Linked DNA regions of Saccharomyces cerevisiae S288C. Changing the gene in region 2 together with the main gene of any one other region gives a genetic interaction. Each region holds a gene or a part of one and is shown on either strand. Other genes may lie near its edges.

The links.
Region 1: of NDT80 (region 2) and HOP2, a mutation in one rescues a mutant of the other (synthetic rescue), as found in Saccharomyces cerevisiae (one study listed by BioGRID).
Region 3: mutations in NDT80 (region 2) and LCB4 together harm fitness more than expected from each alone (negative genetic interaction), as found in Saccharomyces cerevisiae (2 studies listed by BioGRID).
Region 4: of NDT80 (region 2) and CST9, changing one enhances a phenotype caused by changing the other (phenotypic enhancement), as found in Saccharomyces cerevisiae (2 studies listed by BioGRID).

The regions. Positions count from the first base shown.
Region 1 is NC_001139.9:433,928-437,255, reverse strand, and holds HOP2 (Hop2p), read right to left. Parts: upstream 1,632-3,328; coding exon 1,577-1,631; intron 1,507-1,576; coding exon 944-1,506; intron 882-943; coding exon 855-881; downstream 1-854. Other genes in the region: AGA2 (Aga2p), read left to right, coding at 423-686. UniProt on the Saccharomyces cerevisiae protein: Required for proper homologous chromosome pairing and efficient cross-over and intragenic recombination during meiosis. Stimulates DMC1-dependent homologous strand assimilation required for the resolution of meiotic double-strand breaks.
Region 2 is NC_001140.6:354,957-359,342, reverse strand, and holds NDT80 (transcription factor NDT80), read right to left. Parts: upstream 2,783-4,386; coding exon 899-2,782; downstream 1-898. Other genes in the region: YHR125W (uncharacterized protein), read right to left, coding at 180-485; EPT1 (bifunctional diacylglycerol cholinephosphotransferase/ethanolaminephosphotransferase), read right to left, coding at 3,262-4,386. UniProt on the Saccharomyces cerevisiae protein: Transcription factor required for successful completion of meiosis and spore formation. Gets activated after completion of meiotic recombination at the end of prophase I.
Region 3 is NC_001147.6:651,510-656,031, reverse strand, and holds LCB4 (sphinganine kinase LCB4), read left to right. Parts: upstream 1-2,147; coding exon 2,148-4,022; downstream 4,023-4,522. Other genes in the region: YRM1 (Yrm1p), read right to left, coding at 1-1,822; GLN4 (glutamine--tRNA ligase), read right to left, coding at 4,300-4,522.
Region 4 is NC_001144.5:906,225-910,120, reverse strand, and holds CST9 (SUMO ligase CST9), read right to left. Parts: upstream 2,172-3,896; coding exon 723-2,171; downstream 1-722. Other genes in the region: COX8 (cytochrome c oxidase subunit VIII), read left to right, coding at 156-392; ATP10 (Atp10p), read right to left, coding at 2,203-3,042; ART10 (Art10p), read left to right, coding at 3,816-3,896. UniProt on the Saccharomyces cerevisiae protein: Component of the synapsis initiation complex (SIC) necessary for the synaptonemal complex assembly. Stabilizes the ZIP2 component to the chromosomes.

The DNA.
Region 1 (3,328 bases), on a different chromosome or scaffold from region 2:
AGAATAAATGACTAATTTTCAAGAATTTGTTTCAACCTGCCGGCATTCAGTTATTATAAGTTATTGTTTGATGGTAAAACTTCGCCATCACCGGTTGCTGCGTTTATTGCAAAATTACTGAAACCATGTAATTTCCGAATACGGTAATTACACGCAGTTTGAAATTTGACATGCAAGTTTAACAAAAAAACTTCTGTCCGCATCTAAAGCTTAATTAAGGGACTGTTTCATACCTTCAGATCCAATATACTGAATATCAGGCAATTGATTTCCCTTGTAAATATACAATATAAATAGTTGTAAGAAGAGGTGATATGTTAAGTTTCCATTTTGACGTATTCCTCATTCTAGAATGATTGTAAGCTCTCAACAGTCACTTGTGTGCCAAAATATTATACCTACTTCATACATTTTCAATTAAGATGCAGTTACTTCGCTGTTTTTCAATATTTTCTGTTATTGCTTCAGTTTTAGCACAGGAACTGACAACTATATGCGAGCAAATCCCCTCACCAACTTTAGAATCGACGCCGTACTCTTTGTCAACGACTACTATTTTGGCCAACGGGAAGGCAATGCAAGGAGTTTTTGAATATTACAAATCAGTAACGTTTGTCAGTAATTGCGGTTCTCACCCCTCAACAACTAGCAAAGGCAGCCCCATAAACACACAGTATGTTTTTTGAGCCTTCCCCCCCAAGTTTCCATTTCATCGTTCGTGACACTTATAAACTAGTGTAAGATTATTTACCTATATATAATTTGATAATAATAGCAAAGAATAAGAAAAAAAAACAATCATGATAAGTAAAATAGCAAGTGTTCCGGTACGGAACAACCAATTGCTTTTCACATCAAATGTCCTCAAATCCAATTTCTTCCTGTAAAGATTTCGTTAGTATATTCAAAAGAAAAGGTCTCGAAAAATGTTCAAAATACATACCAAAAATTCATTCATATTTTTCGGGCACACTGAGTCCTTTATTGTAGCAATTAGGTTTTTGCAAATCTTTGATCTCTTCGTGATTTCTTTTTGTAGCAGCGTATCTTCAGACATTATCCGCTTGACAATCTCATCATTTGCTGGATCCCAATCATCCTGTAGACTTTGTAATTTTGATTCAATCTTTTTCAACTCGTTTTCTTCGTTTTCAATGATTGTTAGGAGATCTTCATTTTCAGGTTCTTTAGTTACAGAGTCAAGAGCGTCTTTGGCCGTTGATTTATCTCTCTCTAGTTCTATTAAATCATTTCTCAGTTGCAATACAGTTTCAAAATCAAACTGAGAAGGATCAATATTGCTTGGTAATGCTGTATCTTGTTCATTACAAGAGTAAATTATAATCTTTCCGAAGGTTTTAGACACTATGCGTTTCTCGTTAACGAGATTTTCTAATGCTTTGGTTGCTGTTGTTTTTGTCACTTTATTGTGCAAATTCTGAACTATATCATTTACAGAAAATGGTTTATATTGTGACACCAAGTAATCTTCTATTAATTGTTCAGCTGATAAAATACCCGGGGTACAATTGTTAGTAATGGCGGTATTTGATGAGCATGTAAAAAAATACTTAACCTTCTGAGCCTTTTGCCTGAATGGCTCTATCGTTTGATTTCTTTTTCGGTGCCATATCTTTCAAATAGAGCCTGGTCAGTTCACGTTAGCTTTATTATTAATATTTGTTAGAAACAACTCTTAAAACGCTTCTCTTTTTCGGTCGCGTAAAAGGATAATATTATTAATGGAAAATTTAGCCGCCGAGGACATAATCTTTTGAATCTTCATAAAAAAGCAACTGTAAGCAATGTAAAGTCCAAAACTTTACCATTTTTTGTTTGATCTTGCATGAGAATACCGGGTGAGCCTAACATGAAAAAGATAGCTAGCCACTATTGTAAAAATGTGATAAAGGATACGAGACTCAAATTCACTTGGATAACTATCTAGCAGGTTTTGAGTCAGCCATATTAGGTTACATACCGGTCCAAACCTATATAGAGCCATTGTACGATCCGACTACAAGTTATTTATATGGAAATTAACAGATTGTTTGGAGTCACCGTACGCAGCTCACATAGATAGCTTATTGTGCAAAATATAATTAAATAAAGATGCAAGATGGATGATAACAAGAATTATAAGCAAAGGATTATTGATGTTCCGAATAATTCAATTCACTATATAACAGGTGTTGGGTATATGTATGTGATCTACCTGGTACGTGTAATTTAAAAAATAAAATAATTGGGAAAACTACGGAATTACGTTTGCGCATTGCGTCCGAAGATCAGCACCTCAGATAAAAAATCAACTTTCGCCGTGGTAGACTTCGAGATACTCTGCTAATAGCGATGCTCGATATTACTACCAATGTATGTGAAGGTTTTGATTGTATTCAATCCTTTTTCAGATAATTTACCCTTGCTTTAAGCTGCGTATATCAAGTGCATTTGCTGTCTGCTGATGTCAATTAATTGTATCAATTGGCCAGCTTCGGATAACGAACGATTATCGCGCGAGTGAAATAGACTGGGTCGACCCTTTTGAATTATCACGGCATCGCAATATCTTTGGAGCAGTACAACATTTACTTTTCTTGACCAATCCTAAGAGTTTGTATACATTTTTTGTAAACTGTAGTACGGCGTTAGAGTCAAGAAGTAGCTTATTATATCCTGTGCACAAATTTCAAAGTTTTTGCCGCCATCATATGGCTGAAAGAGGGCAGCAAATTCCATCTCGTTATTTTTGCATATCAACGCAAGCGTTACACAAGATATGGTTAGAAGCAACGAGCAGAAATTCATTACAATGACAGAAATTAATTGCCGTTGCAACATTGTTTTGCCTCTATCGCGTGTGTTTCCTTGAAGGCAGTGTATCACTGAATGTCATCAGTAATGTTACCAAGAATGAACATCCTCCAAATACTCATAGAAACCCGTTTAAAATTCGGGAATTGATGACTTCCTTATGGTAGGCAAGTGTGATTTACAGACTTTCCATGCGATGAACCCCTATTTTAATCGTATGGATCACCAGATCAAGAATTGGCAGTTCTGTCCCATTATTAGAATAGCGAGAAAACGGATGCTTTCATAATTTTTGATTGTTGCTTCATCCTATTTCACCCTATTTAATAGCCTTCTGTAGAAATATCGTGTATGGTTCCTTTATCATTGCTTAGCATAGCTGCCACTAACCTACATTAATCGACTTTTTCCCGGAAAATTAGCGGGTAATCGATTTTTCTAGATGGCATTGTGGAGGAAAGTAAGTGCGTGGGGTGTGTAAGTTGCCGTACAATGCAGTATAACCAGTAGGACT
Region 2 (4,386 bases):
TTGGGATTTCGTTGTTGTGAAAGGTTATAATATTAGGTTTTCAAAAATATATTAAAAGCCACCCTCGAAGATACAATAATTCCAAAAAGGGTATCGATACTTTTACACAATATTATTCTATTACACTACTAGTCCTTGCGTTTCAGCTTCCTTTATTTTTGATGACTTTTTTTCAATCTTTACGTAATGTTCTTACACACCATGTGATAATACACTACTAATGTGACTACTAGTTGACGGATGATGATGTTCCTTATTACAGCAGTGTCAAGCCAAATGCATACATCGTATATTAATGTGCGCCACGTTTGACGTTTAAGTGTCACTGTGCTATTATAGAATAAAGAAAATGTTAGCGAGTATTTCATACAGTACTGAAGCCGAATTGAAGATAATTGAACGTTGCTGTGATAATTATTCATAGAAATATTACAGAGGATCGTATTAAATGTTTGGCAACTACCAATCATTATTGCATTGATCATAATCAATAATGAATGACAAATATAAGATGGGGAAGAAGTAATGATAATATTATGTAGAAATATCGATTCCCTTTTGTGAACTTCAAGATCTCCGAAGAGAACTTCTAGTATACTCTGTATACATAATATTGTAACATTGATTAACAATTGAATCTCAAAATTATCAAATTATTCACCCAATCTTCATTATTCACCAAATATTCCCAACTATCAGTAGTTCTTCTGGCAACTAATAAAATACTTAACCTATTCTATGTAGATATGAAGGGAACTGATAACAAATAGTAAGCGGATTTAGCTCAGTTGGGAGAGCGCCAGACTGAAGAAAAAACTTCGGTCAAGTTATCTGGAGGTCCTGTGTTCGATCCACAGAATTCGCATATTTTTTTAACGATTTAAAATCATTAGTTTATTTAATACTTATAGAAACTATCTTCCTCAAACAATTCTTCCCTATTAAATATACCAGATGGTAGAGTACCGCTTGCAATCAACTTGACCCCTTTCGAATATACCCTATCTGCATTTTCTGCATCCATTTTTTGATAATAATTTTGAAACGAACCTGTTTCTAATATTCTTGAAAATGTCCTTGGCACATCCTCTTCCGTAGCTGGGAAAAGTGCAGTTTCCAAGTGAAAATTTTCTGCTGAGTTAGGTAGTATAGAGAAAGAAATATTTGAAAGGGAGAGTTCGTTACCATAGCTTGTTTTGCATTCAGAACGTGAGCCTATCTCTGGTCTTAGATAATTCTGTTCCATTGATTTCTTCTCTATTGTTATATCATAATTTTCATGAGGTAATTCATTGATTTTTTTGAATGCTAATGAGCCTACTTTGAAAATATTCTCATGTTCAAAAGAGCGTGCCGGTTTCAGTTCGATTTGCTTCATATTAACAGAAAAACTACTTGAGTAAACTAAATCCTCCTTTTCTAAACACCCTTCCATACCTCTTGAAGATGAACTCGGATATTTCAGAGAGGAATCTGGACATTGATTTTTCAAAGCACCCAGTTTGTTCTGGATATGTTCAAGAGTCTCCACCCTTTTATTTGGCCTGAAGAACGGATCCTCATTTTCCTTCGAAGCTTCCATTGGTGTGGATTGACGAGATTTGATAGGCGAGATGGAGGCCCCAGAGTTCGGTGCACCTAGCGCCACTTTGGATCGCCTTTTCGAAGGTCTTGCATTTAAGCAACTTTCATTTAACGGCTGCGCCATTGATGGCATTTTTCTTTTTGTGCTGTTTTGTGAGGAATTGACACTCGACGGTGTTCTCACAGTTATTCGCTGAGATGACGCATAGTTAGAAGGTGATCTTCCTCTAATAATAAGAGGAGGCGTTTTCATTTCTTGCAAATACACAAACATCCCTTTTGATCCATTTTTTAAAGCCAGTTCATCATAAGGAATTCCGGGATTCTCCCCATGAAAGGTATCTGGATCTACCACTGCACCTAAAATTACATGCAAGCTAAAGTGTTTATTTTGTTGGGATGGTTTCTTCACGCTAATTGATGAAGCAAATTGAACTCTTTCATAACGGGCAACTTTCTGAATAGAATCTTCTGGATAGGAAAACAATAAAGAGTCCACTCCATATTCTTCATAATTAACGTGGTCTCTGTGCAAATAAAAAGTGGAATCGTATTTTTTCATTTTAGTGATATTTCGAACATTTGAAGCTTCTCTTATGATTTGATGTTTTGGCAAAGGGGAAGGCACCAACGGACATACTGAAGGACAAAATTGAGGACCTTTGTCGCGTTTCGCTGTATGCTGGACGAGATTGATTTCCGTGTCGTCGTCGTCATTCTTAGCTTTTATTTTGATAGCGAAATATTGCACTCTTAATCTGCTTTCTACTGAAGAGTCTTCAACGAGAAGATCAAAACTGCTCTTTAAAAAAGTATCCAAATCACAATTTGCCGTTTCAAACGTTGATACTAAGGTAAAATAATTTCTTTTATAACCTACCCACTCTTCATCAATATGGTCGAACCCTCTGTCAATTCTTGGAATAATTCGTAAATCTAGTGTTCTTCCGGTATGAGACTCAACGACTGGACAATAATCTCTCACTAATTCAAATGGAGGTCCCACTTTGAACTGTAGTGTTGATCTAGGGGCAATTTTTAGTTTCCTTTTGTCGAAATAATTCGAAGTGGTGCCATCTTCATTCAACTGCGTAAGGATAACAGGCGTATCCTCTTCCTGTTCTGTGCTTAATTCCCTCTCATATTTGGATACGAGATCATCCTGTAATACTGGATCTGTGTTTTCCATTTCATTCATTTTAAGCGCTTTTTATAATATTGTTATTTCTCTTTAATGAAAGGTTAGTAAACTTTCAATTTTTTGCTTAAATAGGTGACACAAAATGGAGGGCAATTATAAGGGACCTTGGCTTTTCGAAACAAAAGACAACCGTTCTGGAGCTTTGTCAGAGAGCTGGGCGGTTGTATAGAGGACAGGCCTCGAGATATTTGAGATCTCGTTTTCTACTCTTTTGTGTCATACGGCCTGGCCGATTTTCTGACACTTTGCCCTCCAAGCCGCACCTGAAGCAGAAAACGTCAAATAGCCGCGGAAGTAACAATGTAAAGTCACATATACAGTAATAGGAATGAAACACTATGTATATTCAAGGACCTTTATAGTTCTATAATATAACGCTATCTATTACACAAACTTGAGATTGAAAATCTCACAGGGCGATAGATTCATTGTTGTGCCTTGTTTTCGAATAAAAAAAAGTAGATACAAAGTGCGATTTATGTCAGCTTGGAGCGCTTGATGGATAAAGCATAAACGTCCAGGTACTCAGTAAATTCATGGATAATGTCATTCATAAACATAATGTGAACACCTAGTGAGAGACCGAACCCAAGCCAAGATAGGGCAAAGACGATTTTATTAGACTCAATTCCCCAAAGGGATAGACATATTTTGTACAATACTATCTGGCACAAAGGAATTAACATGGGTGCATTGAACATGGGAAAGCTCTGCTTAGTTAAATGGCAAACGATTATTCTTCCGACGGTAAATGCTCCCGTGAAACCAACGGAAAGGATGAAAGAGAGTGTAATAAAGCTTGGTTGCATCCACACTAGTAAAGCAATGCTTGCATAATAGGCAAAAAAGGGCAAAAGACCTTTTATAGCACTATCTTGCTCAATTTGCGTGATATTGTTGGCCGAAGAAGTGCTGTTTCTATAATACTTATCCACGTTTCTTTTCGCAGACAATGCGTTCATAACCAAACCGAAAACAGCTAGGGAAAAAACAATATCTAGAGTGTCTACATCAATTACCTTATCACCAACTGTAATTGTAAATAAGTAGGTATGCCAGATTACCTGTTTTCCGTATATACCTGTCAGTATCAATGAAACGCAAACAATCAGGATGCCTTCCACGGGTCCAGAAAACTCACTTAAGTATAATGTGTGTGTATGGTACTCTTCCCAAGTACTTAAGTAAAAATTCGTCAGCATCGCAAATTGGGATAACATTAAGTTATACGAAAATCCCATTCCAGTTTCGGATGCGAAGATGAAAATAGACAGAGTAGAATTAATGGCATCAATACTATGATCGAATAGTTCTCCTAAGGGTCCTGATTGATTGATACGGCGAGCGTGTACACCATCACATCCATCGAACGTTTGATATAGGAATACACCTAAAGCGTAAGAAAAATATGTCCAGCGAGGCGTATCTGTGTTAAGGTTTGGATCGTAATAGAATACAGTCAACACGTTGATAACTATAAAAGCAAATCCTGATAATGTGATGATGTTGGGCGCCATCCACGTGGGAAATATGTGACAAAATCTTTGCCAAAATGGCTTTAAGAAATACTTCGATACCAGCGAGCGGTCTTCACTTTGATA
Region 3 (4,522 bases), on a different chromosome or scaffold from region 2:
TGACTTCTTGATCTTTGATGTTGGATGATAGATAATAGCCCTTCTCAAAAAGAGTTAACTTATGATACAAAAACGCACAAAAGCCAGTAGAGGCCCTAGGAAAAAGGAAATTTGTGTATACTAAAGACAAGGCCATAAATGGCGGTAAATGAACGCAATTATGATCAAAAAACTCAGGAAAATGCTTCTCATCTAGGTTAAAACACAGTATGGTCGTATTGATGACAAGGGAAAAAGAGACCAAAATGGTTTGCAGGATGTTGTTCTCTAAAACAACGCTTTTTTCCTTGTAAATCAAATACCTCAAGGAATAAAACGTCAACAACAAATTCAAAACCTGCGCAAGCACTTTAATCTCGCACAAAGGAACTTTAGATATTAACTCACTGTCAGTGTAATATGATATTGGGTGGAATTCAGTCTCTACAAAGTTTCTTAGTTTTTTACAATTTTCGGCTAAGTCTGGAAATGCGCTTCTATCATAAATTTGATCTAGCATTGGTCGAGCTAATCTTAAAAACCTTTTAAGCTTGCCCATGCAGGAATTTGACTGATCGAAAAAAACCGTCGATGAATAATTGTTTGTATTTTTAGGCAACCTCTCACCATTCTCGCATTCATCGACTTGAAAATAGGATGAGTTAATCGCCAAACATCTCCCAATATTTAAAGAAACATTGAAATCTGATAATATAATCCAAACCCACAAATTTTCCAAACTTTCCATACTCCCCACAATATTTTCTTGATTTTTGTATATTTCTCTTATATTCAAGTGTAAACCCAGCATAATTGCCGTGCTGCATAATAAGTCAACTAGACTAATCATATGCGAATCGTCTCCACACGCCCAAATTAGTTCTCGATGATAGTATTTCAATAAGAGAAATTGAGCGCGTTCAATGAAATATACTTTAGCTGTTGACAGTCCCGTCAGCATGATGAGAAATTTCTCTATCTCTTCCGGAGTATTTTTGTAGAAATGGCGAATACACAGTATCATCAAAATAACTCCAATCTTATAATAGTTTTTCTTTGTCGATGGTAATAACTTTTCAATCCGCCTTTCACCGTTGGGTAACAGTTCGTCACTTGGAAGAAACGAGGAAGTGAAATCGTTTATTATTTTGGTTTTATCTAATACTTCACTAACTTCATTAGTTTCCAGTTCAGTATTGAAAAAGTCTGTTATAATCTTTGACGATTGTTCAAAAGATGGCAAAACGTTACAAACCTGTTGCAAGATGTCAGAGCCTGTCTTTTCTAACGGCGGTCCCTCTAGGAGTTGAGTTTCTGGCTTCATTGTCCATTTATGCCTAGCCTTCCATCTGTTTCTCTCGATTTTCACTTTGGACCAGAGCTGATTATACGTGTTTACAAACCGATTATCATCGTTTGAGAGATGCGTTCTCAAAGATGTAGGACCATATACTATTCTTCTTCCCGAGCCTTTACATTGTAAATAGTAAAAATTAGCGTAAGGGTTCCTAAATGGGCTCGTACTAAGCGCTACATCCTTCTCCGTCAACTCTTTGTCATCTAGTCTTTTCTCTAAATCCTCAATCCTTTTCAACAGTTCAATGTTCGGAGTACTGCCAAATAACTCTTTTGTTTCTATTTTGTGGGTGAATTTCTCTGTATACAGGCAACCAGAACGACCCCTCGTCTTACAAGTTGAGCACATTGGCTTCTGCTGGTCGCAACGTAATTTCCTTTTCCTACAAAAAGCGCATGACTTTATTGGTTTCCGTCTCTTCTGCGCCTTCTTTACAGTTTCCTCCGATGGGGAAGCTCTATCCTGTAAACTACCCCGCTTACTCATTAACAACTCCCTTTACCAGGACCATTCAATGTGCTTTCCCCTCTGACTTTCTATACTCTTGCCGTTATTATTACAATACCACCTGGCATTTGTCATTTTATCGCCTTGTAAACCATGGGTGTCACCCTACTGCCGAGCCTGAAAAAAACGTGCTGCAAGGGTCTTGAAGCAAAAAGATGATTTAACGGAAGAAAGGCATACAAGAAGGTGAAAATTCGTGTTTAACCCATCTGATACTTTCCCTTGTCTAACGTACTGATCCTGGAGGTTATCAAGAACACAAAAGTCTAGCAGCGAAAAGTACGCGAAGAATCTACTATAGATAATGGTGGTGCAGAAAAAACTTAGGGCTATCTTGACCGATGAAGGTGTATTGATCAAATCGCAATCACACCATATGTTCAATAAGCATGGTCAACTCAGAAGCGGAGATTCTTTATCCTTGTTGAGCTGCTTGTCCTGTCTGGATGATGGAACTTTGAGCTCTGATGGAGGTTCTTTTGATGAGGATGATTCCCTGGAACTGTTGCCTCTTAATACTACCATTCCGTTCAACAGAATTTTGAACGCAAAATATGTGAATGTCGGTCAGAAAGGCTTCAATAATGGCAAAATTTCTTCGAATCCTTTTCAAACGGAAAATCTGAGTTCTTCGTCTGAAAATGACGACGTTGAGAATCATAGTTTGAGCAATGATAAGGCTCCTGTAAGCGAATCACAGTCATTTCCCAAAAAAGACAAGTGGGATACAAAAACGAACACTGTGAAGGTGTCTCCCGATGATTCACAGGATAACTCACCATCTTTAGGGATAAAAGATAATCAACAGTTAATTGAGTTAACTTTTGCTGTACCCAAGGGCCATGATGTTATACCACAAAAATTAACCTTGTTAATAGATCACGTTTCTAGGAAATCGAGAGCAAATACCGGAGAGGAGAACATTTCTTCTGGTACTGTGGAAGAAATCCTGGAAAAAAGTTATGAAAATTCCAAGAGAAACAGATCGATATTAGTCATTATTAATCCCCACGGTGGTAAAGGTACTGCTAAAAATTTATTCCTGACAAAAGCAAGGCCAATACTAGTGGAAAGTGGCTGCAAAATAGAAATTGCATACACAAAATATGCCCGTCACGCCATCGATATTGCCAAAGATTTAGATATCAGCAAATACGATACCATTGCATGTGCCTCGGGTGATGGTATTCCATACGAAGTAATTAATGGGCTTTATAGAAGACCCGACAGAGTGGATGCGTTCAATAAACTAGCCGTAACTCAGCTACCTTGCGGTTCAGGAAATGCTATGAGCATTTCATGTCATTGGACAAATAACCCATCGTACGCCGCTCTGTGCCTTGTCAAATCCATTGAAACAAGAATAGACTTAATGTGTTGTTCCCAACCTTCTTATATGAACGAATGGCCAAGATTATCCTTTTTGAGTCAGACGTACGGCGTTATTGCAGAATCTGATATTAACACTGAATTCATCAGATGGATGGGTCCCGTTAGGTTTAATTTGGGTGTAGCATTCAACATTATCCAAGGTAAGAAATATCCCTGCGAAGTTTTCGTCAAATATGCTGCCAAATCTAAAAAGGAATTAAAAGTTCATTTCTTAGAAAATAAAGATAAAAACAAAGGATGTTTAACCTTCGAACCAAATCCTAGCCCAAACTCTTCGCCGGATTTACTATCTAAAAACAATATCAACAACAGTACAAAAGATGAACTTTCACCGAATTTTCTCAACGAGGACAACTTTAAATTAAAGTATCCGATGACGGAACCAGTACCTAGAGACTGGGAGAAAATGGATTCAGAGCTAACTGATAACTTAACAATCTTTTACACAGGGAAAATGCCGTATATTGCTAAGGACACCAAATTTTTTCCCGCTGCTTTACCAGCGGATGGTACCATTGATTTAGTCATAACGGATGCAAGAATCCCAGTGACAAGAATGACACCAATTTTATTATCCTTGGATAAAGGTTCTCATGTATTAGAGCCAGAAGTTATTCACTCAAAAATATTGGCTTATAAGATTATACCAAAAGTGGAGTCAGGTTTATTTTCAGTGGATGGTGAAAAGTTTCCTTTGGAACCCTTGCAAGTGGAAATAATGCCCATGTTATGCAAGACGTTGCTAAGGAATGGTAGATATATCGATACAGAGTTTGAATCCATGTAGATTAACGTTATATTTTCCTTCAAAAATGATTTTTTTGTAAAAAGAAATACTACATCGAAAAGAAAAGGCGATATAATGTTTCTATCATCGGAGTATGGTTTATATTCCATTTTTGTTTTCATTATAATTATACATCCCCAGTTATATATCATTAATACGTAACAATATTATGAGTTGGTCTTTATTATCTAATATAATTAAAAAATTTACACTATTACATCATTTTCAACCAATAGGATATATATATAAATATATACATATATGCACATTAAATCATTCACTTGGAAGTTGCGTCCTTCAAGCTAACTATTCTATTCAAAATAACCTTAGAAGTCGTACTCTCTTTATCCAGAGTGAAATAACCTACTCTCATAGCTTGGAATCTACACACTTCTTTGGAATCCTTATCTTCTTCAACATAAAATTCCGAGTTTTTAACAGAATCAACGACCCATGGACTGTTCTTGACAACGTCCCCGAAGTTATGTTCCATGACAGAT
Region 4 (3,896 bases), on a different chromosome or scaffold from region 2:
ACTAAGAAAAATTGAAAATAAAGGCTGACAGCAGTAGAAACCATTGTGCTGGCTTAGTGATTTATAAGAATGGTTAATTAGTTTTGTATCCTTTAATTTTCTAGATAGAGCCACAGAGCAAACTAAACAGAAAAGTTATCCATTTCCATTACGCAATGTTGTGCCAACAGATGATTAGAACGACAGCTAAGAGAAGTAGCAATATCATGACCAGACCTATTATCATGAAGAGGTCAGTACACTTCAAAGACGGTGTGTATGAAAATATCCCATTCAAAGTCAAAGGAAGAAAGACACCTTACGCCTTATCTCATTTCGGGTTCTTCGCTATTGGATTTGCTGTTCCATTTGTTGCCTGCTATGTTCAATTGAAAAAGTCAGGTGCTTTTTAAAACACCCCCATAAGTTTGAAGGATAGATGTGTGTACATAGCGTGCTTGGTTGAGACGTTTTAGAGTGTGTTCTTTGCTATTCCTAGGTGCGCATATCATCGTTTTATTTATTTGTACAATTTTCTTTTCATATATTCATAATCCTCTCCTTGTGCCTTCGTATTGAGACGGCGGGAAAGAAGGATCTAAGAAGAACATAATTCGACAAATTTCTTCTAAAATAATACCATATATAGTAACACATAAGAAAATAGAATAACTTTTATAATACAGTAACATACTCTATCTATTCTGAAGGCTGTTTTCGTCACGGGGAATCCTTACACCTATTTACCTAATCCTTCTAAACTTATTGTTTTTCTTGCTACTACCCAACACAGTATTACTTGAGCGAGGTGGCAGATGATTATCACTCTTCAAATGTGTATTAGTCAGTTGCTGAGTTGAATTGGACCGCTTTAGTATATTTGATTTCGGCAGTTTACTTTGTTGCAATGAGTTCGATGAAGATGAAAAGGCAAGACCACTGCTTCTTACGTGTGAGCTCAAGTTGTGTGTTATTCTATTCGAACCGCTGATAGTATTATTTCTCTTCCTTGTTATTTTTAATTTTTCTAAAGCTGAGGGAAACTGCGTCGAGGTACTTGTTAAAGGTGTATTTGAATGATGCAATTCTTTGAGGTTACTATTTGGTAAAATAAGCCTATTTGATGATGAAGATAGAGGCGAAGAGGGTTGGAGAGAAGCTGAAGATAATCTTGATATATTTTTGGAAGATACAGAGCCATTATTCGTGAGGATGTCAAGATTTGGCAACTTTCCATCGAAGCCTTTTGCAACACGCACAGGAGAGAACGAAAATCTGTTCAGATTGGTTGATTCTGCAATAGTCGAAATATTAGGTAGATTACTATTTGCGTTTGGGTTCATTCCAGGAGGAGGAATGCTATTTCTATTAGGATTATTCAATGTCTCCATAAAGAGAGGCTGGTTTTTATTTACACGACCACTTGTAGAGGGAGTGACAGTTCCATTGTTATTTTTTGAAGAATTTCTCAAAGAAGAGTTTTTTTTCAACTTTTTAATAAAGGATTTGGCTTCGAATTCTTCTAAACTATTATCATCAACTGTCAGATCAACGGTTGGAGGGGGCTGGTAATGATTTTGATGGCTATTTCTTGTTGGTAGCACACCAACTGACATCGAAGAAACATTGTTATGATTCAAAACTGACTCTAATTCCTGTATTCTTTTCTTAAGAATCGCCATAGAATCCAACTCTATTTTGGCCTGATATAGCAGCTGCTGTTGTCTTGCACATTTTTCTCTCAACTTTAAACAATGATTTTGATAGTATTGACACTGTTTCGAAAGCCCATTCAGTTGGAATTGGGAAACATTATATAACGACTCCAAAAGTGGGGGCAGTGGCTCAAAAAAAATCCTAATGTCGGTAGGCAGCTGTTTAGATTCCACAAGGTTAATGATGGAGATATCGCTCGAACGGCATATAGGACACACCTTTGATGTTAATGGAGAATGCTGCGAACAGAGGATATGAGCACATGAGGTCAGCCTCAATGGATCTCCATGCGATGTTCTTCTGTGGCAAACACCACAGTAAACAAAGGGCTGTTCAAAAATAGAATCCGGCATTATATATTTCTTTGGTGATATCAATGATAAACGTCTTACCTGTTTCAAGCACTTTTGTTTTTTCTCTCTCATGCTCTTCGTGTTAGTTTGGGGAATGAACACGATCGCCAAATAGCCGCCCATCCCTTGTTGGCCGCCGCACAAAGCGTCAACTTCACAGACGTTTGGCAAACTTCCACAATGCTTCCTTTTCAGATGGAGTAGCCTCCCCGCAAGCTGCCCACCTAATTTTTAACTGCTGGTCCACAAGAAAGACGTATCCAGAAAAGACATTATTGCAAAAGAGCTCTTCCCTGACGGAAAATGGCCATTGGCCTCTAGAACATTCGAAATAAAATGGCTGGCGCCAGGATGGAACGCGATTGGCCCAACGAGCAAGCGTTTTCACTAGAGCACTTTTCACAGCGTTTTCTACAAGATTGACCTCGATGATTTGGACGTTACTGTCATTTAAACTTAAACGCGCATCAGCTTCAGTCAAGTAGTCAGTTTTTTTGTTATCGTCTACGATTCCTTGGAAGTATGAACTACTCAACTTATCGCCAGATGCTGTACTAAATAACCTCACTATACTGGTTTTACCCCTTAACATATCCTCGATATTCTGTTGTTTCGTACCATCCATTGCCGTTCCTATCAAATGAGGAAAAAACAAAGCTTTATCTTCTTTCCAATATGAAACTGGAGCTATAAACAATTTCCCCTTTGTCTTTTGGAAGACTTGCACGTCATAAAGTCCAGATTTGCTGAATTCAACGGCCAACTCTTTAACTCTGTGGTTTGTCTTTTCCGAATCAAACATATCCCTCAAAGAGTTCCCCTGGGAGTATTTGGTGCTTTTCCTTGGTGCTTGTGTTAAGCCTATTGGCTTGACCAGTTGTTTGATCTGGTATTCCTTTGGGGAAGCCGTTGCCATCATAGGCTTGAGGAATTTATCCAAGAAGGACATCCGCGTAAGCGTGGGATGGTAAAACCTTTTAAAAGTGCCCTGCATAGTTAGTTTAAGTTACTCTGATATCGCAAATAAACAAATAACCTGACTTTTACTATATGCTGAAATAGTCCTTTTTAAATATGCACTCTTCCATATTTTTCTGAAGGCGAATCAAATAAATGGTAATAAAAATTTAAATTTCAAAAACGATTTCTAGGCAAGGATATTGTGCGTAAGGAACAAAACAAACGTTTATAGTAGTTTTTATATAGCTGCATAGTGATGTGGCGAGAACTATTAAATATTTCTTACTTCGAAGTTTTATGTACATCGCCTCTGCCTTGCCTTTACACTTTTTAAATTCTTGATTCTGCTCTAGTACAATCTTCACCACTGTTACAAGATCAGGCGTCTCTTTACTAATACCAAGAAGAGGGTGAGATACATGATATTTTATTAAACTGATATTGCCTTGGGTCGGCTGTAATGCAATTAGTCAGGTGGAATCTAATATCACCTAGGGCCTTGGTGAAAATTCTCAGCAAAATGCGGGTTGAGGGTGAGAGAGGGTCCTGGGGAAGGTGCACGCCCTTTTCACAAGAGGTGCGTAAGAGAGAAACAAGCCTTCGACTCTACAGCCCTTCTAACACCGCCACTCAATCAATTAAAAGCAGTCGCACCCATCCAAAAGTAGAATTACATAAACTAGAGGAGAAAAAGCAGCCAGTACAAAGGAGAATTACTTCATTGACCAACGGATATTCTGTGAGTGTTTATATTTAAGATTCTGCTTTTGATTAGAGAAGGTTGAGAACCATACAGTTTGTCAAACCATGGCTCCAAAAATTTCAATATCCTTAAACCCACCGTACAACGGGGAGTTTTATAGCTCTAATGATCAAATGTCAGGGATA